Macaca mulatta: one gene and its partners. The protein of the gene in region 5 purifies or fractionates together with the protein of the main gene of each other region. This does not show direct contact. Links are inferred from orthologs where the notes say so. Each region holds a gene or a part of one and is shown on either strand. Other genes may lie near its edges.

The links.
Region 1: the proteins of PRKAR2B (region 5) and PRKACB purify together in Homo sapiens (affinity purification with mass spectrometry; 7 studies listed by BioGRID and IntAct, counting the BioPlex papers as one, with this or other methods). This does not show direct contact. The link is inferred for Macaca mulatta from reciprocal best matches to the Homo sapiens genes PRKAR2B and PRKACB.
Region 2: the proteins of PRKAR2B (region 5) and AKAP9 purify together in Homo sapiens (affinity purification with mass spectrometry; 3 studies listed by BioGRID and IntAct, counting the BioPlex papers as one, with this or other methods). This does not show direct contact. The link is inferred for Macaca mulatta from reciprocal best matches to the Homo sapiens genes PRKAR2B and AKAP9.
Region 3: the proteins of PRKAR2B (region 5) and myomegalin purify together in Homo sapiens (affinity purification with mass spectrometry; 4 studies listed by BioGRID and IntAct, counting the BioPlex papers as one, with this or other methods). This does not show direct contact. The link is inferred for Macaca mulatta from reciprocal best matches to the Homo sapiens genes PRKAR2B and PDE4DIP.
Region 4: the proteins of PRKAR2B (region 5) and AKAP11 purify together in Homo sapiens (affinity purification with mass spectrometry; 3 studies listed by BioGRID and IntAct, counting the BioPlex papers as one, with this or other methods). This does not show direct contact. The link is inferred for Macaca mulatta from reciprocal best matches to the Homo sapiens genes PRKAR2B and AKAP11.
Region 6: the proteins of PRKAR2B (region 5) and CDK5RAP2 purify together in Homo sapiens (affinity purification with mass spectrometry; 3 studies listed by BioGRID and IntAct, counting the BioPlex papers as one, with this or other methods). This does not show direct contact. The link is inferred for Macaca mulatta from reciprocal best matches to the Homo sapiens genes PRKAR2B and CDK5RAP2.

Annotation. Positions count from the first base shown.
Region 1 is NC_133406.1:156,488,184-156,492,262, reverse strand, and holds the start of PRKACB (cAMP-dependent protein kinase catalytic subunit beta), read left to right. Parts: upstream 1-1,279; 5' UTR 1,280-1,505; coding exon 1,506-1,551; intron 1,552-4,079. UniProt on the Homo sapiens protein: Mediates cAMP-dependent signaling triggered by receptor binding to GPCRs.
Region 2 is NC_133408.1:127,276,416-127,279,915, reverse strand, and holds part of AKAP9 (A-kinase anchor protein 9), read left to right. Parts: intron 1-850; coding exon 851-1,001; intron 1,002-2,104; coding exon 2,105-2,773; intron 2,774-3,001; coding exon 3,002-3,210; intron 3,211-3,500. UniProt on the Homo sapiens protein: Scaffolding protein that assembles several protein kinases and phosphatases on the centrosome and Golgi apparatus. Required to maintain the integrity of the Golgi apparatus. Required for microtubule nucleation at the cis-side of the Golgi apparatus.
Region 3 is NC_133406.1:119,875,563-119,879,062, reverse strand, and holds part of myomegalin, read left to right. Parts: intron 1-360; coding exon 361-587; intron 588-2,891; coding exon 2,892-3,035; intron 3,036-3,500. UniProt on the Homo sapiens protein: Functions as an anchor sequestering components of the cAMP-dependent pathway to Golgi and/or centrosomes.
Region 4 is NC_133422.1:21,627,491-21,631,716, forward strand, and holds the start of AKAP11 (A-kinase anchor protein 11), read left to right. Parts: upstream 1-1,426; 5' UTR 1,427-1,697; intron 1,698-1,943; exon of another isoform or gene 1,944-2,150; intron 2,151-4,226. UniProt on the Homo sapiens protein: Binds to type II regulatory subunits of protein kinase A and anchors/targets them.
Region 5 is NC_133408.1:146,657,339-146,661,468, forward strand, and holds the start of PRKAR2B (cAMP-dependent protein kinase type II-beta regulatory subunit), read left to right. Parts: upstream 1-1,330; 5' UTR 1,331-1,533; coding exon 1,534-1,849; intron 1,850-4,130. UniProt on the Homo sapiens protein: Regulatory subunit of the cAMP-dependent protein kinases involved in cAMP signaling in cells. Type II regulatory chains mediate membrane association by binding to anchoring proteins, including the MAP2 kinase.
Region 6 is NC_133420.1:37,795,285-37,798,784, reverse strand, and holds part of CDK5RAP2 (CDK5 regulatory subunit-associated protein 2), read right to left. Parts: intron 3,010-3,500; coding exon 2,888-3,009; intron 1,769-2,887; coding exon 1,532-1,768; intron 1-1,531. UniProt on the Homo sapiens protein: Potential regulator of CDK5 activity via its interaction with CDK5R1. Negative regulator of centriole disengagement (licensing) which maintains centriole engagement and cohesion. Involved in regulation of mitotic spindle orientation.

The DNA of each region.
Region 1 (4,079 bases), on a different chromosome or scaffold from region 5:
GGGTTCAAATCCTGCTTCCACCAGATAATAGCTGTGTAATCTCGGTAAGTCACTTCTTTGTGCCTTAATTTGCTCGTAACTAAAATGATGACAGTAAAACCACATCTCTCATAGGGTTCTTATGAGGAGCAAATGAGTTACTATTCGTATAGAAGTTGTAATGCAGTATACATTAACAGAATTGGTGATAATAGGAAGTTTACTAATAATCTTATCGCTCCATTTTTTGTCAGTAATGAAAATTTTTTTAAAAGCCTGAGAAATTTCAAGTCAACAGGTATTCGTAAAACACCTACTATGCCTGGTGCCTTGGGAACATAGAATAATTTGGGAAGTTACAGTCTATTTTGACTTTGTAATAAGTGGAAAACACAGAGCAAAGTTCAATGGAACCACAAAAATGCTAGAGTGCCATATAATTTACCTAAGTAAAGCTAACAGCAAAATCAAGTATTCTAAGATTTATATTAATAAAAACGCAACTAACAATTGGGAATGTATTTATTTTCAGATCTACACGGAAGTTGCTAAATACAATGCTGTACATCAACAGAAGTTGTGCAGAAATAGTAAAATTTTCCTTTATCTCCACCTGGGAAGTCTGAAAACATAGGGCTTGTGACTGGAGCCTACTATCCCCGAGGACAACGCGGTGGGCTCAGCGAATACCTCAATGTGCGAGGGAATGAAAGGCTCGAACTACGACCGTGACTAGGGACCAGGCTTTTCCTACTGCCGATGCCGGGCAGATGCAGACCCAGAGACCACCCTTGCGCGCGATCTCCAACCCGAAGGTGCGGCTCTTTTTCGGACCTGGCGCTGTGAGGAAAAGGCAGTCTTTGAGTGAGGAGCCGCCGCGTGGCGGGACACAAGGAAAACCACCCGAGCCGCTGAACGGTATCCCGCGACTCCACTCCAGGGCACTGGGAACGCCAGGCTGAGGAGGGACTCTGCCGTCCGCAAAGCTAGCGGTTCCCACTCCACCTCCCACTATCTCAGCGATGGGCATCCGAGCGCTAGACCGGGATACCGCGGCGGAGGAGGCGGTCAGCGGAACCTCAGGCCCCAACCCTGGGCTCGGCCAGCTAAGGGTCCACCGCCCGCCCCCGGGGTCCCGGGCCACGTCACTTCCGGCGCGCGCACCCGCGCGCGAAGACACAGTCGGGCCAGGGCCTAGCCCGGGAGCGCGGCTGCCCGGGGGCGCGCGGGGAGGGCGGGCCGCGCGAAGGGGGAGTGTCTGCCCGCCGCCGCTACTGCTGCCGCCGCCGCCGCCGCCGCCGCCGCCGCCGCCGCCGCAGCAGCCGCAGCTACCGGTGCTGAGGAGTTCGCTGGAACCCTTTCCTCAGACCCGGCCCGGTCTCCCTGCCCGGACTCCGGGCGCCAGCGCTAGGCGCACTCACCGCTTTGACGGGTGCAGAAGCGGGAGTTGCCCCAGACTGTGGAGTGGCGGGCACGGCCCCAGCCCCCCTTCCCCTCCCTGACCCCTTCTTGCCATCGCCCCAGACATGGGCAACGCGGCGACCGCCAAGAAAGGCAGCGAGGTGGAGAGCGGTGAGTTGAAGGCCGGGTCTGGGTATCCGCTGGGCGGGCCGGCGCGGGGCACCGAGGCCCCTCCGGGTCGCAGCTCCTGAGGCCGCGGGCACGGGCCAGGCCTAGTAGCGGCCGCCGGGAGTCGTTCTGGGGGGCCGGGGGACCAGCTGCCTTCCTCCTCCATTCCGACCCCCCAGCTCCGTGTTGAGGGCTGAGTGCGAAGGGCCGGATGTGGGGATCCTGGGAAGAGCGTTCCCTGGGATTCCCTTTTTCACTCTAGCGAGGAGGACTTGCACACATTCTGGAACACTTCCCCAAATATGGTCCGAGGAAAGAAGTCCCCAGTGCCATCCCACCCCTGCTTTCCCCTCTCGCCGACTCTTTGGGAGCTACAGGTAGTGGTGCTGTGGGTAAGGTTGGCTCTTCTCCCTCCATCACTTGGGTCCAACCCAACCTTATCACAAGGCGGGGGCTGCTAGTCTGGCTCTACGCAAGTGAGGCTAATCCTGAGTGAACAACTCTGCCTTAGAGATCCTTCATCTCTTCAGATTAGGAATGGAAAACATAATGAGACCAAACAGCAACTTTATCCATTAGAGAAAAAAGCCAGGCAGGTTTGCCTTTTCTCTAGACATTCTAGGATCTGCTGCAATGCCTGTAAAACTTAAAGGTCATTCGGAGTGGAAGTGCTTCCAGAACACGGTTAATTTCTTCTGAGAGCTGAAGGTGCGGGTACTCCACACTTTACATCAAAAAGTAAAATATCATGAAAATGGAATTTCTGTATGGCTGTGAGGTGTGTGTGTGTGTCTGTGTGTTTGTGTATGCATGTATACACATGCATATATATGTGTGTATATATGTGTCAGTCAGAATGGTCGTGAAATAAAACTTGGGTTTGCCTTTGTAAAGTTTATATATTTTTATAATTCAGAATGGCCGAATAACAGATGATATTTGTTACATCACCAGTAGTGAATGACATGTTAGCACTTAAAGTGGGCCTGATAATTTTAGTTTGTGTAAATATTACTTGTAATGTTTTCATGGTTGTAACATAAGAATTAGGCTAATTTTATAATTTAGCATGAAGGAAATAGCTTTTTTTTCTGTATTAGTAAAGTAGAATTCATTTAGAAGGATTTAGTCATTCATTTGGTTTAACATAAATAGATCAGATTATATGGTTTATGTTTCATCAGTAAGGTTTTGGTATCAATTTTTGGGAGCTCCAGAAAAGTTTGATGAGCTATTATATAAACTATTTAAGAACACACAGTATGTCATACAGAGATCTAAAGAAACCATTGTAGAGGTAGAATGTATGTTATTTTATTTATTTATTTTTGAGATGGAGTTTCGTTCTTGTTGCCCAGGCTGGAGTGCAATAGTGCAATCTTGGCTCACTGCAACCTCCGCTTCCTGGGTTCAAGCGATTCTCCTGCCTCAGCCTCCCGAGTAGCTGGGATTACAGGCGTCCACCACCACACCCGGCTAATTTTTGTATTTTTAGTAGAGATGGAGTTTCACCATGTTGGCCAGGCTGGTCTCGAACTCCTGACCTCAGGTAATCCACCCACCTCGGCCTCCCAAAGTGCTGGGATTACAGGCGTGAGCCAACGTGCCCGGCCTTTGTTATCTTTTTAAAATTGCGGAAATATAGTAACTAACTGTACAGGAAGTATAAAAAATGCAAAAAGCATAAAGAATTATTTGTACCTTATATGTTGTCATTTTTCGTGTTAATTTAAAACTGTATTAACTTAAAACGTGCTAATTGTGTTACAAAAGAGTGTTTGGAGAATGATCCTATTAGTAGTTTTCATTAGCAAGTGCTGACCTGTATAATGTTTATATTTTGGATAATGATAGTAGACTCTCCTGTGACCTGTATATTTTTTATTAAGTTATCAAAACAATTCTCCCTTAGACAGTATTAATTTGCAACTCATAGCTGTGAAATAACCTCAGAATATTTACTGAAAACAGAATGGAAACTTCAAATGTTTATCTGAACATATTTAAATTATTTCCATGAATAAATTCTTTCCTATGTTTTAAGTGTTAATGACAGTCTAGTACTTATTAGTCAGCTTTTTGTGTAACTTTGTTTATGGAAACAAGGTCATTATAATAGTTTAAAAAGCTGTTGTGAAGTGACCAAAAAAAAAAAATAGCATGTTATGTGTCATAGGGAAAATTATTTGAAATGTCATGTGTTGATTAATGTTTGTAATTTCATTTGGAGCAATGTTATCAGGTATATGTTGCCGTTCTGTAGTAAACAAAGAAATTGTATTTTAAACTTAATGAAAGAACTCTTATCATTACATACCTAACTGTTCTGTGTATTTTTTTAAAGAATTATTCTTGAAAATTTGTTTTTCAAAACTTTTAGAAATATATGATGTTACAGATCAGCCTGTACAATCATTCCTTTTCAAAGATCCTGATCTCTGAAGAAGCTGGAGTTGAGATCATACTGTTAGTAATAACCGAGTAAGGAATAGAGTCTGATGCCTGCACTCCATTCAGCATCACTGAATAAT
Region 2 (3,500 bases), about 19 Mb from region 5:
TATTTTGTAACAATAAATTGCATAGTTGTTTGCATTGATAATTAATAACTAATAATTGTAGTACTAGAAACAGTTAATTTGAAGCCAGGTGTGGTGACTAATGCCTGTAATCCCAGCACTTTGGGAGGCCGAGGCGGGTGGATCACCTGAGGTCAGGAATTTGAGACCAGCCTGGCCAACATAGTGAAACCCCGTCTCTACTAAAAATACAAAAAATTAACCGGGTATGCTGTCGTACATCTGTAATCCCAGCTACTTGGGAGGGTGAGGAAGGAGGACCACTTGAACCCAGGAGGCGGAGGTTGCAGTGAGTCAAGATTGCGCCATTGCACGCCATCCTGGGTGACAAGAGGGAAACTCTGTCTCAAAAAAAAAAAACAGGACCAGGCGCGGTGGCTCACGCCTGTAAATCCAGCACTTTGAGAGGCCCAGGCAGGCAGATCATGAGGTCAAGAGATTGAGACCATCCTGGCCAGCATGATGAAACTCCATCTCTACTGAAAATACAAAAATTAGTTGGGCATGGTGGTGTGCGCCTGTAGTCCCAGCTACTTGGGAGGCTGAGGGAGGAAAATTGGTTTAACCCGGGAGGTGGAGGTTGCAGTGAGCCAAGATGACACTACTGCACTCCATCCTGGCGACGGAGCAAGACTCAGTCTCAAAACAAAACAAAAAAAAGAGAAAGAGTTAATTTGAAATGAACCCCAGTCAAGAATCTTTAATAGTTTATATTTTCCTCTTAGCTAGCATATTATATGCCTCAGCTTATCAGTGGAAGCTGTTTTTCTCTCTCTCATTATATGCTTCATCAACATAGCTTTATGGAAGTTCATTTGTCTTTCTGACTTAGGTTGGAAGTTAAAGATAAGACAGATGAAGTACATTTGCTTAATGACACATTAGCAAGTGAACAGAAAAAATCAAGAGAGCTCCAATGGGCTTTGGAGAAAGAGAAAGCGAAGTTGGGACACAGTGAAGAACGGGATAAAGAAGAACTTGAGGTACTGTTATCTTTGTCTTTAAATGTCTCTGGAAAATCCAGAATGATAGAAGAGAGTCTTGAGACTTTCCTCCATCTAAAATGTCAACCTTAGACTTCTTAATAAGATGCGGTAAGTTGTTCACTTAGGCATTCAATACTATATAATGTTATCTAAACAATATTATGAGGAAATGCTAATGGAATGGTGATTGGTTTGTTTGTTAGTTTGTTTTGCTACATCCAAAGATGCATATAGACTGCTCTTCTGCAACATGTTTTGGTCATGTGAATTGGTACACAGAGATAAACATGGCAATCCTGTCAGTTTAATACAGAAGTAGTTTTGGTTCCTGTTTTCTCCTAGGGAAGAGGAACAGGGATACTTTTCTGGATCCCTCACTGCTTAAGAACATTTAAAGTGAACATTGGCCCCTTTCAGAGAGACACACCCCTGCTTTGCAAGGCTCTCAGCTCAAGGCAGGTTGTACTACTACATGCAGTATCTACTTTTAATAGAGATGGAGTTGTCTCATTGGCTCAGAGCTCTTCTAGCCACTTAAATGTATGCTGCTTCATTACTTAGTGAGGTTAAGATTTTTTGAGAAAAGTATTTTACCCTTCTTTTGTTTATATTTCATGATTTTGCACTAACTACTGAACATTTAAGTTAATAAACTAAATCAGTTCTATTTTCTAATACAGATACTATCAGCATAGTATTAACAAAGGCATGGTTGTATACTTATAAAGGTTTTTTTTGTTTTGTTTTGTTTTTTTGAGTCAAAGTCTCGCTCTGTTGCCCACCCTGGAGGGCAGTGTGGCATAATCTAGGCTCACTGCAACTTCCACCTCCCAGGTTCAAGCGATTCTCCTGCCTCAGCCTCCCAAGTAGCTGGGACTACAGGCATGTGCCACTGCACCCAGTTAATTTTTTGTATTTTTAGTAGAGACGTAGAGACAGGGTTTCACCATGTTGGCCAGGCTGGTCTTGAACTCTTGACCTCAGGTGATCTGCCCTCCTCGGCCTCCCAAAGTGCTGGGATTACAGGCGTGAGCCACCATGCCTGGCCAAGTATTTGTAATAATACTAACAAATTCTTAAATTTGACTTTCTCATACCAGGATCTGAAGTTTTCACTTGAGAGTCAGAAACAAAGGAATCTTCAGCTAAATCTACTTTTGGAACAACAGAAACAACTACTGGACGAATCCCAGCAAAAAATAGAATCACAGAGAATGCTATATGATGCCCAGTTGTCAGAAGAACACGGTCGAAACTTAGAGCTTCAAGTACTTCTTGAATCTGAGAAAGTTCGAATTCGGGAAATGAGTAGTACCCTAGATAGGGAGCGGGAATTGCACGCACAGCTGCAGAGCAATGATGGTACTGGGCAGTCTCGGCCATCCTTGCCCTCAGAGGACCTACTGAAAGAGCTGCAGAAACAGCTAGAGGAAAAACACAGTCGCATAGTAGAACTGTTAAATGAGACTGAAAAATATAAACTGGATTCTTTGCAAACACGACAGCAAATGGAAAAAGATAGGCAGGTTCATAGGAAAACACTGCAGACAGAACAAGAGGCCAACACTGAGGGACAGAAAAAAATGCATGAGCTCCAGTCCAAAGTGGAAGATCTTCAGCGCCAGCTGGAAGAGAAAAGACAACAAGTTTATAAGTTAGACCTTGAAGGACAGAGACTACAAGGAATCATGCAGGAATTCCAGAAGCAAGAACTAGAACGAGAAGAAAAACGAGAAAGTAGAAGAATTCTGTATCAGAACCTTAATGAGGTAAACTGACAGTTTCTTTTTAGATATTTTTAAGGTAAGTACTGCAGCCCTTTGATCATTAAATTTTGATATTGGATTAAATTACTTAAATAACTGTTTGTAAATCACCTAAAAATGAAATATATAGACGTTTGTTGGATATAAACAATAATTGTGTTCCCTTAAGATAGACTGTGATATGCTCTTCACTTATAATTATTGTTTTCTTATTCTGTCCAAAATTGCCAGCCAGCCACGTGGAGCTTAACCAGTGATCGAACTAGAAATTGGGTTCTTCAACAGAAAATAGAAGGAGAAACAAAGGAATCAAACTACGCTAAATTGATTGAAATGAATGGAGGAGGAACCGGCTGTAATCATGAATTAGAAATGAGCAGACAAAAGCTTCAATGTGTAGCTTCAAAACTACAGGTTCTAGCCCAGAAAGCCTCTAAGAGGTTAGACTTTTCTGCCTGATCTTTGGGAAAGCAGCATTCTTAGGCTGGGTAGACCCCATGCCTCTTTGACAGCTAGCCAAGGGTGGGGAATTGAAATTTTAAAGGTAATGCATGTTTGCATTAGGAGGTGATATTCTTTAACAGAACTCAAATGTCTGAAAATAACTATCTAACACTTTGACCCAGGGAAGAGAGCACAGTATATAAGGGAGAAGTGATAGGTGAAGTAGAACGTCACCTGCTCTGTAATGTTTGTGGTAGTAAACACCCCCAATTGAGAAGGTATGTTT
Region 3 (3,500 bases), on a different chromosome or scaffold from region 5:
CATTGCACCATAATCTCTCCATTCTTGAAAATGTTCTCTGTATCCAGCTTGATTTCCTTGTCTGTGTCTTCTCTACCCAGAAACTTATTATTTATTATGATTTGTCCTATTTCATTGGCCAATAAGAAAAAATTGTCCCCTGGCAAATTTATCATTAAGAGATGATGTAAGAAAAATTACAAAAATATAGAAGCCAGAAGATCTCTATGGTCTTTGCCCCACCCTTGTACATTCCAAGGCTTCCTTTCTTGTTCCCAGCCTCTTCCTTTTCTTGTCTCCTACCTCTTCTGAGTTGGAGCAAACCTAGGATATCATTATGAATAACAGAGGATTCTGTTGTGTTGTTATTTTCTTTTCCAGGCTTGGGTTTGGATACTTCTCCAGTAATGAAGACCCCTCCCAAGCTGGAGGGTGATGCTACTGATGGCTCCTTTGCCAATAAGCATGGCCGCCATGTCATTGGCCACATTGATGACTACAGTGCCCTGAGACAGCAGATTGTGGAGGGCAAGCTGCTGGCCAAAAAGATAGTGTCTCTTGTGAGGTCAGCGTGCAGCTTCCCTGGCCTTGAAGCCCAAGGCACAGAGGTAATCACACCTGTAGCTTTAGATGCACTGTTTCCTTGTGCCCTTTCTTCCTTTGATGGTAACTCCTTCTCCCACCATTTTTGTTTTTGTTTTTGTTTTTCGTGCTTTGCATCTCTCAACAGCTGAGGCTTCCTCTTCCATGTACAGCAGCCAGGCCCTGTCTTCTCTGTCTCCTATTTTCACTGTCAGTTCTGCTCTGTTCCAGATGTAGCTGACTGGATATTTCCCCTCAGCCCCACAGAAACATGTGGCATTGCCTAGCAGCCTTTGGGAGCTTTTTTTTTTTTCCTCTTTTCTTGTTTTTATTATTATACCTTAGGTTCTAGGGTACATATGCACAATGTGCAGGTTTGTTACATATGTATACATGTGCCATGTTGGTGTGCTGCACCCATTAACTCGTCATTTACATTAGGTATATCTCCTAATGCTATCCCTCTCCTCTGCCCCCTCCCCACAATAGGACCTGGTGTGTGATGTTCCCCTTCCTGTGTCCAAGTGATCTCATTGTCAAGTTCCCACCTATGAGTGAGAACATGCAGTGTTTGGTTTTCTGTTCTTGAGATAGTTTGCTGAGAATGATGGTTTCCAGCTGCATCCATGTCTCTTCAAAGGACACGAACTCATCCTTTTTTATGGCTGCATAGTGTTCCATGGTGTATATGTGCCACATTTTCTTTTTTTTTTTTTTTTTTTTTTTTTGAGACGGAGTCTCGCTCTGTCACCCAGGCTGGAGTGCAGTGGCCAGATCTCAGCTCACTGCAAGCTCCGCCTCCCGGGTTCCCGCCATTCTCCTGCCTCAGCCTCCCGAGTAGCTGGGACCACAGGCGCCGCCACCTCGCCCGGCTAATTTTTTGTGTTTTTAGTAGAGACGGGGTTTCGCCGTGTTAGCCAGGATGGTCTCAATCTCCTGACCTAGTGATCCGCCCGTCTCGGCCTCCCAAAGTGCTGGGATTACAGGCTTGAGCCACCGCGCCCGGCCATGTGCCACATTTTCTTAATCCAGTCTGTCACTGATGGACATTTGGGTTGATTCCAAGTCTTTGCTATTGTGAATAGTGCCACAATAAACATACATGTGCATGTGTGTTTATAGCAGCATGATTTATAATCCTTTGGGTATATCCCCAGTAATGGGATGGCTGGGTCAAATGGTATTTCTAGTTCTAGATCCTTGAGGAATCGCCACACTGTTTTCCATAATGGTTGAACTATTTTACAGTCCCACCAACAGTGTAAAAGTGTTCCTATTTCTCCACATCCTCTCCAGCACCTGTTGTTTCCTGACTTTTTAATGATCGCCATTCTAACTGCTGTGAGATGGTATCTCATTGTGGTTTTGATTTGCATTTCTCTGATGGCCAGTGATGATGGGCATTTTTTCACGTGTCTGTTGGCTGCATAAATGTCTTCTTTTGAGAAGTGTCTGTTCATATCCTTTGCCCACTTTTTGATGGGGTTGTTTGTTTTTTTCTTGTAAATTTGAGTTCTTTGTAGGTTCTGGATATTAGCCCTTTGTCAGATGAGTAGATTGCAAAGATTTTCTCCCATTCTGTAGTTTGCCTGTTCACTCTGATGGTGGTTTCCTTTGCTGTGCAGAAGCTCTTGAGTTTAATTAGATCCCATTTGTCAATTTTGGCTTTTGTTACCATTGCTTTATGCAGGCACATGACCATCTGTGGGCAGAGTTGACACAATGGGGTGGACAGAAACTGAAGGATTTGCAGGTGTATGGCCCCCACATGTGGAAGGGGTGAGAAGCCTGGCAGCCATGGCATTTCCTTGTGCAGACTGCATAGAGGGAGGGAAGGCAGTCAGCAAAGCTTCTCAGAGCGCCTTGCCAGTGAGAGAGACCAGGCACCAGGGCTGTGCTGTCTGAGCTGCTGGAGACCCATGGATGCGTAGGGACAGCCCTGCCTCCACGGAACCCCACACTAGAGGGCAAGACACACACACAAGTAGATCAGCACAGTAAGGGGCTACAGACACAGCATGAGAAGCCATCCTCTGTGCTGTGAGGCCGCCAATGCAAACGTGGTCATTTATCTCAGGCAAGGAAGGTAACAGGTTCATAGAGGACACAGCAAGGGGGGTGAGTTTTGAAAGCCTTGTGGGTTCTGCAGGTGGAGGGAGGCATACCTGGTAAAGGGACCAGCACCTTAGTTCTGAGAGCTGCAAATGGTTGTGCGAGGGCTTCACAGTTCAAGCAGGCCCATGTTCTGTGCCTCACTCACAAAGGAAGCGGGAGCCCATGCAGGGGGAAGAAAGTAATCTCTCCGCTTCTGTGGTGTTACCTTTCCCCAGGTGATGGGCAGCAAAGGCATACATGAGCTTCGGAGCAGCACCACTGCCCTGCACCATGCCCTAGAGGAGTCGGCTTCCCTCCTCACCGTGTTCTGGAGAGCGGCCCTGCCAAGCACCCACATCCCTGTGCTGCCTGGCAAAGTGGTAAGATGCCAGTGTCCTTTCTTGGTTTGAACCCAGTTTTCCTGCCCTCCAATACTGTTCTGTCTCTTCAGTGTCACAGCTTTTCAAGAAAATCGGGAGCCACATAGTGAATTGGGATAGACAGGACCTTAGAGGAGTGTCCCTGGAGGGACATCTCTGACCCATGGTGGCTGCTTTCATTGCAGCTGTAAATACATCCCATTCCCCACCAACCCCCTGGCCCCTGGATAAAAAATCAAGAAGAGGAAGGGGTGTGGAGAAGGCGGAGACATCATAACCCTGGCAATCCATAAAGGTTCAGTTTCTTTACCTCTCTGAAGTTTGGCTGAGCTGAAATTCAGTTAAAGCTTCAGCACCCACCTCCCACCCCTCAGGTCCCACGGTCACATGATCACAGAATGCCCCCATGAGACTGAGCCTTTTCAGCCGCTGCCTGGAATTCCAGCATATCACTTCAGCTGGCAT
Region 4 (4,226 bases), on a different chromosome or scaffold from region 5:
AATGTTAAGATCATTGGAAATTAAATTTCATGACTGTCTCCCACCTGGCCTATAAATCTCCTAATCTTTGCTTCTGCTTTGGCCTCTTTAAGACCCATTATTTTCAAGGAAGAGACTTTTTTTTTTTAAAGTAAACTCTGGGTGTCTCTCCCCTATTAAAAACTTTCTAATACCTTCTATTGCATTTAGAATAAACTTTCAATTCCTTTCTTGGCTAACAAAGCCTTACAGGATCTGATCCATGCTAGTTTCTGACTCAGCAAGAACATCTCCATCTTGGACAAGCACCACCATTTTAAGTTCCCCTTGATTAAAAACTGCCTAAATCCAGCCCCAGAAACATCAGCCTAATGTCATCATGACCATAAACCACAAATGACACCTCTGATGAGAAATATTCCAACCCTGAGATAAACCCCCCTCTGATCAGAAATATGCCTCCCCTCCAACCAGAGACATTAAACCCCCAGCAATAAAACCCTCCTCCACCCAGAAACATTCCAAGCCTGCAATATGCTCTCCCTCCCTCAACCGCTAAATACCTTTAGTCTGTAAGAGAGAACACTACTGACTGAAATTGGCCAGAAGACCCTCTCAGGTTTATTCTCCAAAATAAACCTGTCTCTGTTAAGCTGCCTTTTCTGTTTCTTTAACTCTTACAGTTTCCATCTCCAGGCTCAATAAAGTTTACTTTCTCATTTATTCTTCCCTCAAATGCACTAGAACAGGTCCTTACTTAGGGCCTTTGAATTAGTGTTATCCTTTTCCTGGAATGCTGTACGCTCTGATTTTTGCATGACTGTTATTCAAATCGCTGCTAAAATGTCTCCTCCTCAAAAGGGCAGCCCCTTTACTAGCCACTCAATCACCATCACGTCACTTATTGTAACTTCTTTACATACATTTTAAAACCAACAGATATTTTGTTTTCTTTTCATCCTCAGATAAGTTCCCTAGAATCTACACTACTTATCTTCATCATTGTTCAATGGACAATGATGTTCAATGGACAAAGCCTGGAGTAGTGTTTGTTGAATGAAGAAATGAACAAATGAATTGCACCCTTTCTTCCCTGACCCTCTCCTCTCAACAGGGCAAAACTTAACTCATAATGAGGATACACTCAAAAATGTCTTTTTTATTGCCAGGTGTTTCCACTCTTGAGGAACAGATGCCCTTAAGGAGACAGGGCAATACTGGCCCTTCGGATTTTAGGTGAAAATAATCAGCACAACAGCTTTTCATCTCTGGTTAGGATTCCCAGTGACCAAAGCTTTAGTTTCCGATTTCCATACCATGTAAAGACATCAGGGTGAGCACTAGGGCCCTGAGAACCCTGGGTGCTACTTCTTGGCTGGGATAGGGCCGGTTGCCCTGTGCGCTGTGAGTGGTCCTCCCTGGAGATGCTGGGAAAAGGGGTGGAGTCATCAGAAAGGATGAGCCTTCCTTGGGCCTTCGGATCTGGTGGGGCTGCCACTTAGGGAAGGGCCCGGGGCTTCGGAAGAAAGCAAAACTAGCCTTGTGGCGAAGAAGGAGCCCAGCTGGCCCCAGGCTGTAAGACTAAGGGGTCGACGGAAAAGAGGCAGAGCCTGAAACCAAATCTGCGGAGCAAGCCAAGGCCTGGGGACTTGCCAGAGGAAAGGGTTAAGCCGTTTCCAAGGCAACGGACCAGGAAGCACGCAAGACGTCCGCCGCAGGTTCGTAGGTCGCCCTCGAATTTAAAGCTCCCAAGGCTGAGCGGGTCCCGGCCAATGGAGAGGCCCCCTTTAAATCATGTGATCAGCGGGGCTGCTCCGCTAGCTGCTCCGGAGCACGTGGGAAGGCTTTTTTTCCTGTTCCTTCTTTCCCTTTTTAAACGCCCACTCACTTTTGCGCGGGCTCGGCTGCGGAGTTCTTCTCGCGAGAGGCGCGCTGCCCTCTCGCGAGAGTGAGTGGGAGGCGTGGAGAGTAGGCGGTGTTGCGGGCCGGAGCTGCGGCGGCGGCGGCGGCGGCGGAAGCCGAGGGGTGGGCAGGGCGGGGGCGGGCCGCGGGGCTGGGAGGGGGGAGGGCTGGGGGCCGACGCGGGAGGGGGCCAGCCTGCTCGCCCGGCTCGCTCACGGGTCGTTGCGGCCGGTGACATGTCCATGAGCTGCGGAGGCTGCGGCCCCCAGGTGAGCCGGGCTCCGACGCGTTTGCCGCGGAGGCTGCGGTTAGATGGGGTGGCGGCAGGTATGCGGCCGGCATGGATGGAGCGGCCCGGCTCCGGCGCCCCAGCCCCTCCGCCGGCCCGTGGTCCCTCTTCTGTCTTCGGGGCCGCCCGAGAGCTGCGCCTTCGCATGGCGGAGGGAGGAGGGCGGGAGGAGCGCGGCCGAGGGAGGAAACCCAAGGCACCGGGCCCAGAGTAGAGGGAGGTGCTCGGTCTCGAGACGGGTCTTCCTGGGGTCCCGAGTGTGGCGGTGGAGCTGCCGCCGCTTTTAATGACAGGCTGTTTAAATCCACGGGGTGGTCTTTAGAGACGGTCCCCCGGGTACGTGGTGTGCGCACAGGAACATTTGCAGCAGAAGGAGGACGTTGCACTTTGTCCGCGAACAGCATCCTTCACTGTCAGAACCCCGGAGCCCTGGAAGCAGGCGCTGCTCAGATCTTATGACAGAAACGGAAGGCGTCAAGGGGCTCTTCGTAGTATTGATATTTGCATTTGCTGTCAAATACCCTCCTAGGCTGTTAATGGCTTAAGGCTGGCCATAAAGTACTCCGAATGGATTTAGTATACTGCTATTAATCCAGGCATCTAAGCTGCTTTATAAAAAATATGTAGATGTAACCGAAGTATTAAAAAAAAAGTAAATGACAATGACAGTAAAAGCTAACATTTTTTCTCTTCCCCGTATTACCAGCTTTCATTTTTTTCTCTGCTTTCTCTGTCTTCTAAAACCATATAAAGTTGGTTGTGGTTTAGCTTTAGATGTTAAGGAGTTTCATGGTGAGAGAGACTGCTGAGACACACATCTAATAGCTTTAGTACAAACTGGAGTTAATTCCTGCTCTCTTTTCAGCTTTTCAATCGCTTGCAAAATGCTCGTTTTGCTTAGCTGCTTCCCACTGTTTTAGAAATGTCATGTTGATTGTGATTTCGTTATGTCTGAAAATACTCAAAATATGGAGTGCTAAGAAAAAATGGGGTATCAGTAATGCAAAGATAATTTTTTTTAACGTCATGATTTTAGGATGGCAGCCCAGTGCCTGACATGATTGGTGTCAGTTAAAATAGTGCAACTGAATGATTTTTTTTAAACGTTTACTTTTTCAAATGGTACCCTGATTATTCATTTTTTTTGTTGTTGTTGTTCCTCCTGACAAAACTGACCCGGGGTGAACAGTGAATGTCACTATTAATTGTAGCTGTAATAGTAATTTATGAAAGGTCAAAGAACGTAAGGGAATCAGGGAAGAAGTGGGTTCCCAAGCTGAACTAGGGACTAGTGTATGTACCCACATAACTGCACTATCGACGAGATTGATATGGGTCTAGCAGTGGACTCCTAGGCCAGTGATATTTTGCAGTTGAGGATATGGGAAGTTGCCTAAGACATGGAACCATAGTGAGAAAGTCTCTAGCCTTCTCTAGCCCCCTGAACTCCAGGGATAAGTCTAGAAGCTGAAGAAGTCCTCTTTTGCCTTTAGAGGCCGGAAAAAATATAGTACTTTTAATTTTTTTTATTTTTTAATTTTAGGAACTTACTGTCTGGAAAAGGAACTCAAACCAATTTGGACAACATATTAAAGACCGTTTTAAGAGAAATTGTCAGTTATAAATAGGTAGAGGAATTCTCTCTATACTTGACAAAAATGTAACGTAGAAAATATATCTTTGTGAATGGGCAGAGGAGACCAGTGTTGATTAGAAAAAAATTTCTTCTCACTCCATCTTAGCAAACTAATTTTCAGAAATAGAAAAATAAATTTTTTGGCTGGTCTTCATCACCTTTTGGCAAGGGTTTCAAACTTGTAGGGTGTGTGGTGTTTGGTTTTTCAAAAGTAATTGAAGTAACTTTGGATAGGGTAACTGATTTTTTTTTTTTTTTCCTGTCTTGTCTGCATTTTATTAATCAACTACCTGGAAGGATTGAAGAGTGAGAACTGGTCAAGAGAAGATCTAGGTTAAGCCTGGGTGTGAGTTAAGGGTCAATAAGCTGGTAATATGGGTAAGAGAAAGAAAAATGCTTTATCAGTTTAAAAACAGACTG
Region 5 (4,130 bases):
GCCTCGGCCTCCCAAAGTGTTGGGATTACAGGCGTGAGCCACCGCGCCTGGCCAAAAGTTTAATTCTTAAAATGCTTGACACAATCAGAAGCACTTAACTACTGTATATTTAAAAACAACGTAGCATTATTACCATAAAGTTCTTAAGAAATGAAAACAGAGAAATACATTGGCTCATAGAGTGAATACAGGATGCATCATTAACAAAGGGTTAACATCAAGATCCATTTTTACAAAAGGGACTAGTTTGTTACATCTCTGATTTCTAGTCTTGGAGTTTCCCCAGTCATGTGTTTACTCTTCCGTGGGTGGGAAGATAAATCAGAATAACCAAGTGAGCTTGCTCTTGAACTATTTTATTTACAATGATATGGTAATTGTAGAAAATGAAGTATGCGTATTTAAATAGCATTTAATTGACAAAAGACAATTTTCTCTACTTCAAAATTGTAAACATTTGCAAAGTAAGCCTCATATCAAAGTCAAAGCCATCTACTTTAAAAGCACACATTCGTAATTCTATTTTTCTTTATACTGAAGTATTTCCATTTTTGGAGATACAAGTCAAAATCACTCAAAGCATAAAGAAAAGTTTCAAAATAATAAGCGCCTCATCTTGCACTATCCTATTTGAAGGAGATCAACTAACTTTGATAGGTGCCTCACAATAAATGGCGCCTTTGTCTCAACAAATAGTAAATGCGTGGAGTGCACAACGGAATAGCATCAGTAAGATAAAACATAATAAACAGGATGGATGGGGAAAGGCTAGATAAAACGTGGTGGAAGAAAAAGAAAGACGTCACAAAGATGGGGTAGCATTTCTTTGTCCAAAAGAGAAACAGTACCACCATAAGACTTTAAACAAAGGACATTAACAACACTTATCATGCAAGTAGATTCCAGAAGGAAAATAAAATGCCACTACTAAGGTGGAGGCTGAAGTTTCAGGACAAATCGCTTGGCACCACCTCTGCGGGGGTTCACCATGGCGAATGACGCGTGGGAAGCTGGGCGAGTGGCCAGCCCGCTCCTGGACGCGCGGACAGGTGGACACCAAGACGGCCTCGCTGGGCCTCCCTCCGCCTCACCCAGCCCGGGCGCGCAGCCCGCCAACGAATTCCACCCTGCCGTGCTCTGAGCGGCTGGTGAGCGGCGCCAGCCGGCGGAGGTTGCCATGGTTTCCGAGGGTCACGTGGGCGCGCTCTCCTGCGCCCCCTCCCGCGCACCGCGGCGGGGCGGGGGCGGGGCGCCCGGGCGAGGGAGAGGCGCGGCCGCGGCGGGAGCGGGAGGAGCAGGAGATGCTGCCAGCCCTCCCGGGGCCGCGCTCGCTCAGCCGCCGCCGCCACACGGAGCAGACGCGCGCCAGGAGCCGCGGGCCGGGCCAGCCGGGCCGCCGGGGCCCAGTGCGCCGCGCTCGCAGCCGGTAGCGCCGCCAGCGCCGTCGGCGCTCGCTCGGCAGCCGCGGGGCCCTAGGCCGTGCCGGGGAGGGGGCGAGGGCGGCGCCCAGGCGCCTGCCGCCCCAGAGTCAGGATGAGCATCGAGATCCCGGCGGGACTGACGGAGCTGCTGCAGGGCTTCACCGTGGAGGTGCTGAGGCACCAGCCCGCGGACCTGCTGGAGTTCGCGCTGCAGCACTTCACGCGCCTGCAGCAGGAGAACGAGCGCAAAGGCACCGCGCGCTTCGGCCATGAGGGCAGGACCTGGGGGGACGCGGGCGCCTCTGCCGCCGCTGTCGGGGGTGGCACCCCCAGCAAGGGGGTCAACTTCGCCGAGGAACCCATGCACTCCGACTCCGAGGACGGAGAGGAGGAGGAGGCGGCGCCCGCAGACGCAGGGGCGTTCAATGGTGAGGACCAGACCCCCCGCCCTCGCGCCCCGGGATCCCCTTGCTGCCACGGCTCTCGGATCTTGCCGCTTTGCGCGCCCACCTCTCCCCGCATTCTCCACCTTTCCCTACCTTCCCATCTCGCCCACCCCCTCAGCATCCATTTCTGTCTCTCCCACTCGCCCACCTTCCTACTCCGCTCTCTGTCATACCCTCTTCCCTTCCTCTGGAGGTGGGAGAGCTGGGAGGTTACGCTTCCCTCTGCCCGTCTGCCCCCTCTGCCTGGGCTGGTTGGGGTGGGCATCTGCTAGAAAGACAACTTTCGCTGTGATTGGAGGTATTTCGCTTGGAGGATACCATTGTGCATAAAGAAACTGGCCCACTTGGCGTCTTCTTTCAGCCTTTGTATTTATTAAACGAATGTCAAAAGAGAAAAGGCGAACGATGTTTAATATGATTGTCTTTACTGTTGTTAGGATGGTAGATTCACTAAAAGAAGCATGAAATTGGACTCACTGGGGCAGAACAAAATTTATGGCCAATAGCTCTGACATTCTTGGAAATAAGAGTTATCTGTTATTTTCCAATTTACCAATGCCGTGTTGTGTTATTTTTGGACACGTAACAAAGGATTCTATTTAGTCTGAAACCCACGGGGGTCTTTGGAATGAGGAAACGGGTTAATGGTTTGCTTTTTGTATAAAAGACATATTGAATGATTTGCTGTTTTATTTTTTTTAAGTGTATGAGAAAAACACTGTAGGAAGTTCTGAAAGCTTGTTGGTTGTCTTTAGAATGAAAAGCCAGTGAGTAATTGTAAGGACTGTGCCAGACTGAGCTAGAATAGACTGAGCTAGAAGAATGAATGGGAAAGAAAACGGAATTTTCTCAAATAGCTGCTCCTGGCAAGTCCCACCCCTTCTGCTTACAACCCTCTTTCCCTAACACACCCAGACACACACCCTCATTTACAGCCCCCTGTATTACACAACATACCCAAATCCCATTTTTATGGCAACCCAAGCTAAAATACCATGGAGTGCAATGTGCAAGTGTTTTCTCTTTGTGATATAAGGCAAACATGCATGCAGCATTGCACCAGCTTTTATTTATTTACACTGCTTGTGGTTTGTGTGTCCGCAGTGTATTTCATAAAATGAAAACATTTAGAAGTGTCATTTCATTTCCTTGTGTATGCTCCTAGGAAGATGTTTCTTTTCTTTGCACGATTACATGTTGAAATGGATTATAAAATTAATGTATTTTTAGTTTGTCCAAAACAATCCCAGAAAGCCTGGAAATTAGTGCTTTATGAAGATAAAAGTGAAGCTTGTTACTTACAATTTTAATTTTGGACTTTTAAATGTTTCCTCAAGAGGATAATCATAGTCTTAGTAGTTCTTTTTGCACAAGAATCAAATCAAACGCTTTTCCTTCTAGAAACAAGAGAAAGAGAGAAGAATGCATGTTTTAAATAGGTAAGAAGCAGCAGCCAGTAACGGATGATAGAAAGGGCAGAGATATCTAATACTTCTTTTATGCTCCTGACGCATGCACACATGTTCATGCACACACACAAAGGGGGAAAAAAGGACTCTTTTCCCAGGTTGGAGAAAACTAGGAACTCAGGGGCTTGGTAAAGACCTTATATGTATTCTGTATAATATGTTGTTAATATAATCAAAATCTTTTGTTTGTATAATGCATTTGTTGAAGTACTTTGCATTGATGATTCCATTTTCTCCTTATAACAATATATTGTGCACAGAAGAGATTCCATTTTCATTTTGTAGTGAAGAAACAAGCCGTTAACTTCAAAACAGCAGGGCTTTATATGACTTTATATTCTCCAAGGCACCTTTGCTGTAAAAATTGCTCAATGTGAGTTAAACAAGTTAAACTTGTAAACAATTGCACTATTTACTCCCCAGCCTCACCTCCAAGGCCTTTAAAACTTTTAGACTGCAACCAAATACAATTTGATCATTATCCAGGAGGCACATACATGTGTCTGATTGAAACTTTGGCAATAGTACAGGTACTACCTTCTGTCAGATGCAGTGCTTTTTGATATTTACTATTTGAATTGATTATTTCTCCCTATTTTAAATTGTGTTGAGACCTGCAGTTGAAAAACATTTAATTATAGGCTACAAAGTGGTTGGCAAGCTTTTCTTGTAAAGGGCCAGATAGTAAACGTTTTAGGCTTTGGGCAACATGTGGTCTTGATTACTTTTTTTTTTTTTTTTAAAACACATACGCGTTGTGAGGGTTGGGATTGTCGAAAATTAGCCGCATATCA
Region 6 (3,500 bases), on a different chromosome or scaffold from region 5:
TCTCCTTGCTTCAATCTCCCCTAGCCCACCCCCACAAGCTCCTCAAAGCCTTAAAAAGGGCCAGGTGCAGACCCATGTTAAAAATATTAATGCCCGATGCTGATGAGGTCACGCAAAAACCACTACCTTTGTACACTTCTGATGGACAGACCATTTAGAAGGTAGAAATATGGCACCTTTCTAAACTTCTGAGATTCCCCTGGTCGGGTTTTCTCCTAAGAATATTGTTTAACAGCAAAAAGTATATTAACATTGATGTCTATTATGGCTCTAAATCAGAGACCACTTTAATAATCAACGGGGTCATGGACTGGTGACTAAGAATAGCCTGCAAACAATCATTAGGAAGCCCATGTGAAAGCAGAGGGAACATGTATGATGCAATATTGGACAAAAACAAAGAAAGGACACAGAATGACACAAAAACCAATTTGAAAAATATAAATTCATGCCGATATTTAATAAATGAAAAGAAATATGCAAATTTTAAAAAATGATCAATGTGTAGAATCATCAACTTTTTTTCTCTGTTCACTTTTTTCATATTATTACATCATCTTTTTGGTTAAATTTTAAGATCCTTGTCAATGAGAAATCAATGAACTAATCACTACAAGTTCTAAGGCAGACTGACTAGGTACTCCTTAAGAGATTTATTTTTATTTTTTTAACTAGAGGTATCCAAGTAAAAGTAAGTGCAAACTTTAGTACAATACTGCTTTTAAAGCATGCTGGCATTCCTCATCCCACTGGATACACATATTTACCCCATGGGTGTCAGGAAGATAATCCCAGGATACCCAAGGCTCCAGAGGGTCCAGTGGGTTTAGGAACAGCCCTAGAGTCAAAGCTGGAAATGGTTTCTAGTTCCAGCTCTGCTGCCTAATTGCTATGCCACTTTGGGCAAGCCCCATCCACTCTCTGGGCCTTTGTTTTTCATCTCTAGAGCAAAGAGGACAGGCTGCCTGACTGATTGGAGTCTAACCATTTACTGGTTTGCTCCACACCCCGTGGTGGGCAGGTGGCAGAGGTGTCTGCTCCTCTTTCTGGTACCCCCCCACAGCCTCTCTCCAGGGCTAGGCAATTAACCTGCAAGCAAATGCAAAACAGATCCACTTTTTAAACCTATCAGGATGATTTTCAGATCCTGAAAGACACTGAAAGCCAGATTAAGATGTTTGGGTTCCCTTCTAAAGGCAGTAAGAGAAACTAAAAGAAATTTCAGCATGGAAGTGATGCAGGCAGGAATAAATGGATAGGAGGGAGCAAGGCCAGAGGCATTGAGGGTGTCTGGAAGTCCAAATTCCACTTCCCTGAGAATCAAGATGCCTCAGATGGAGATTACGCCACTTTGCCAAAGGTGACGTCTAATTAATTAGCAGTCAGGTCCCCTGGCTCCCAGGGTACAGCGTGTCAGCTATCAACGGAAAGACACCTGTGTGGGGCAAAGGCATCATTCAGAAGTTCACACGTCACACACAGATGCTCAGAGCTGCATTCTCAGCCAAGTGGGGAGAGGCAGGGGCAGTACCGTGTTTGTCAGGCTGAAGGGGCACCTCAGGGATGGACAGGGCTTGGATGGCCAGAGTGAGGGCTCCTTCCTGTGCCTTCTCTGCCCCCCTTGCCAGCTGTTCCTCGAGGCTACTCTGCAGAGTGCTGCTGGTTTCAATGCTCCTTTCCAGTTGCAACCGCAGAGCCTGGATCTCCATCAGGAGGCTGTGCAGGTCCCTGAAAGGATCCTGCCCCTTCCAGCCTTCTCCCGACGCCTCTGCAGACATGTGCAAAGAGAAGCCCTGACATCTTCTACAACCAAAGGGTCAGCCATTGAAGGAACTCAATCGCGTTTTACACCCGCCACCACCATCGCCCTCCCTCTTCCTAAGAACTAGGTACAGTTTAAAATAACAACTTGACTTTAGAAACAAAAATATTGGCAGACTTAATTGCTGCTATTCCACAGGCTAAATAAGAGCTGGAAATTAATTTTCGCTTCTGGCCATAAAAGCCTAGCAAATTGCATACCAAACCCCGAAATTATGTCTAGTAGTAATAAAATCTATTTGGGCTAGAATTATAGAATGAAAGGGGATGATTTTAAGAGCCACAGTATATTAAAAAGACACAACAGCAAGAATAAGAAAAGCAAGTTGAGAAGAAAATAAAAGCTGTGAGATGACCCCTTTCTAGATCAACTTTCAATAGAGAGAAACCATCTGGAAAATTAGTTAAAAAAACAAAAAAACAAAAAAACACCTCACCACACCTCAAAATTGATTCTGAAACATTAGACCTTATAGTTGAAGCACTCTGAGCTGGTATCTCTCTTGGGATACAGAGAGCACTGAGGCCAACAACTATCCCCAGAGCAATGCCCAGCACATGAGAGGTGTCCATAAATGTTTGCTGAATTAATGGGCAAAAAGTAACACACACTAGCAGGACGATAATAAAAGTCATTTCCCGAGTGCTTACTATGTGTCAGGTATCATGCTAGGATGCTTTTAATAAATGGTCTCATTCAATTTTCAACACAATTCTCCACACAACAGGTGCTGAGAGACATGTTTTACAGAGGCATGTATGGGCTGGGCTCAAAGGGTGAAGTGGCCTGCTGAGGGTCAAATAGCTGGGAACAAGGGAGTGGGAACCCGGACCGTGGCTGGCCTGGGTGCTGAGCCTCAGTCCTTCTATGTTTCCTGCTGTTCCTTCAAAAGAAGAGTGGGTCAAAGCGCTAGCTTCAACACCCATCCATTCTACCCACGAGGCCAGAGAGGAGAGGGCTGAGCTCTACCCTCCTGCGCCTACAGCCGGCGGTCGGGTGGGCTTACAGCCCAAAGCACAGTAGCCTCAAGGTGAGAAGGGCCTCGGACCAGAGCCCCCCCGGTACCTCTCAGTCTCCTGTGCTCTTCATCCAGCTTCTCATACGCCTTCAGCTCCACTCGGAGGGACTGCAATAGCTTGTCATTCTGTGAGAGCAGCTGCTGCCTCAACTTCACCTCCTCCTGCACCCTAAGAAGGCCCCACAGGCATGAGAAGCACAGGTTAGTTCTACCATAGGGTAACTTATTCGAACCCCACAGAGCAGGCCAATTCCACTCTCAGTCACAAGAGTGTGGACCAAGCAGTGACAAGCCTGGTTAAGAATTCCAGTCACAGCTGCAATTTCCAAGTGCTCCCCGTGTCCAGCCCCGTACATACGTGATCTCATGTAATCTTCACAGATGCCCTAAACGGTTGGTGCTCTCTAACCCTCAGTTCAGAGATATGAGGAAACGAAACTCAAAAGGGCTGTTTCCTACCCAGGCATGCACAGCTCGGGAGGGGAGCCAGACTTAGACCCAGGACTACTTGGCAGCAAAGACGAAGATCTTGCTACCTCACTGCACCACCCTTGGTGATGACGGTAACTGAAAGAGTGGGGCATTCACGCGTGCCGACAGGAACAACTGAAATGTGGAACCAGACAGACTCAAAGAGGGAAATGGCAAAAGGACCATTGG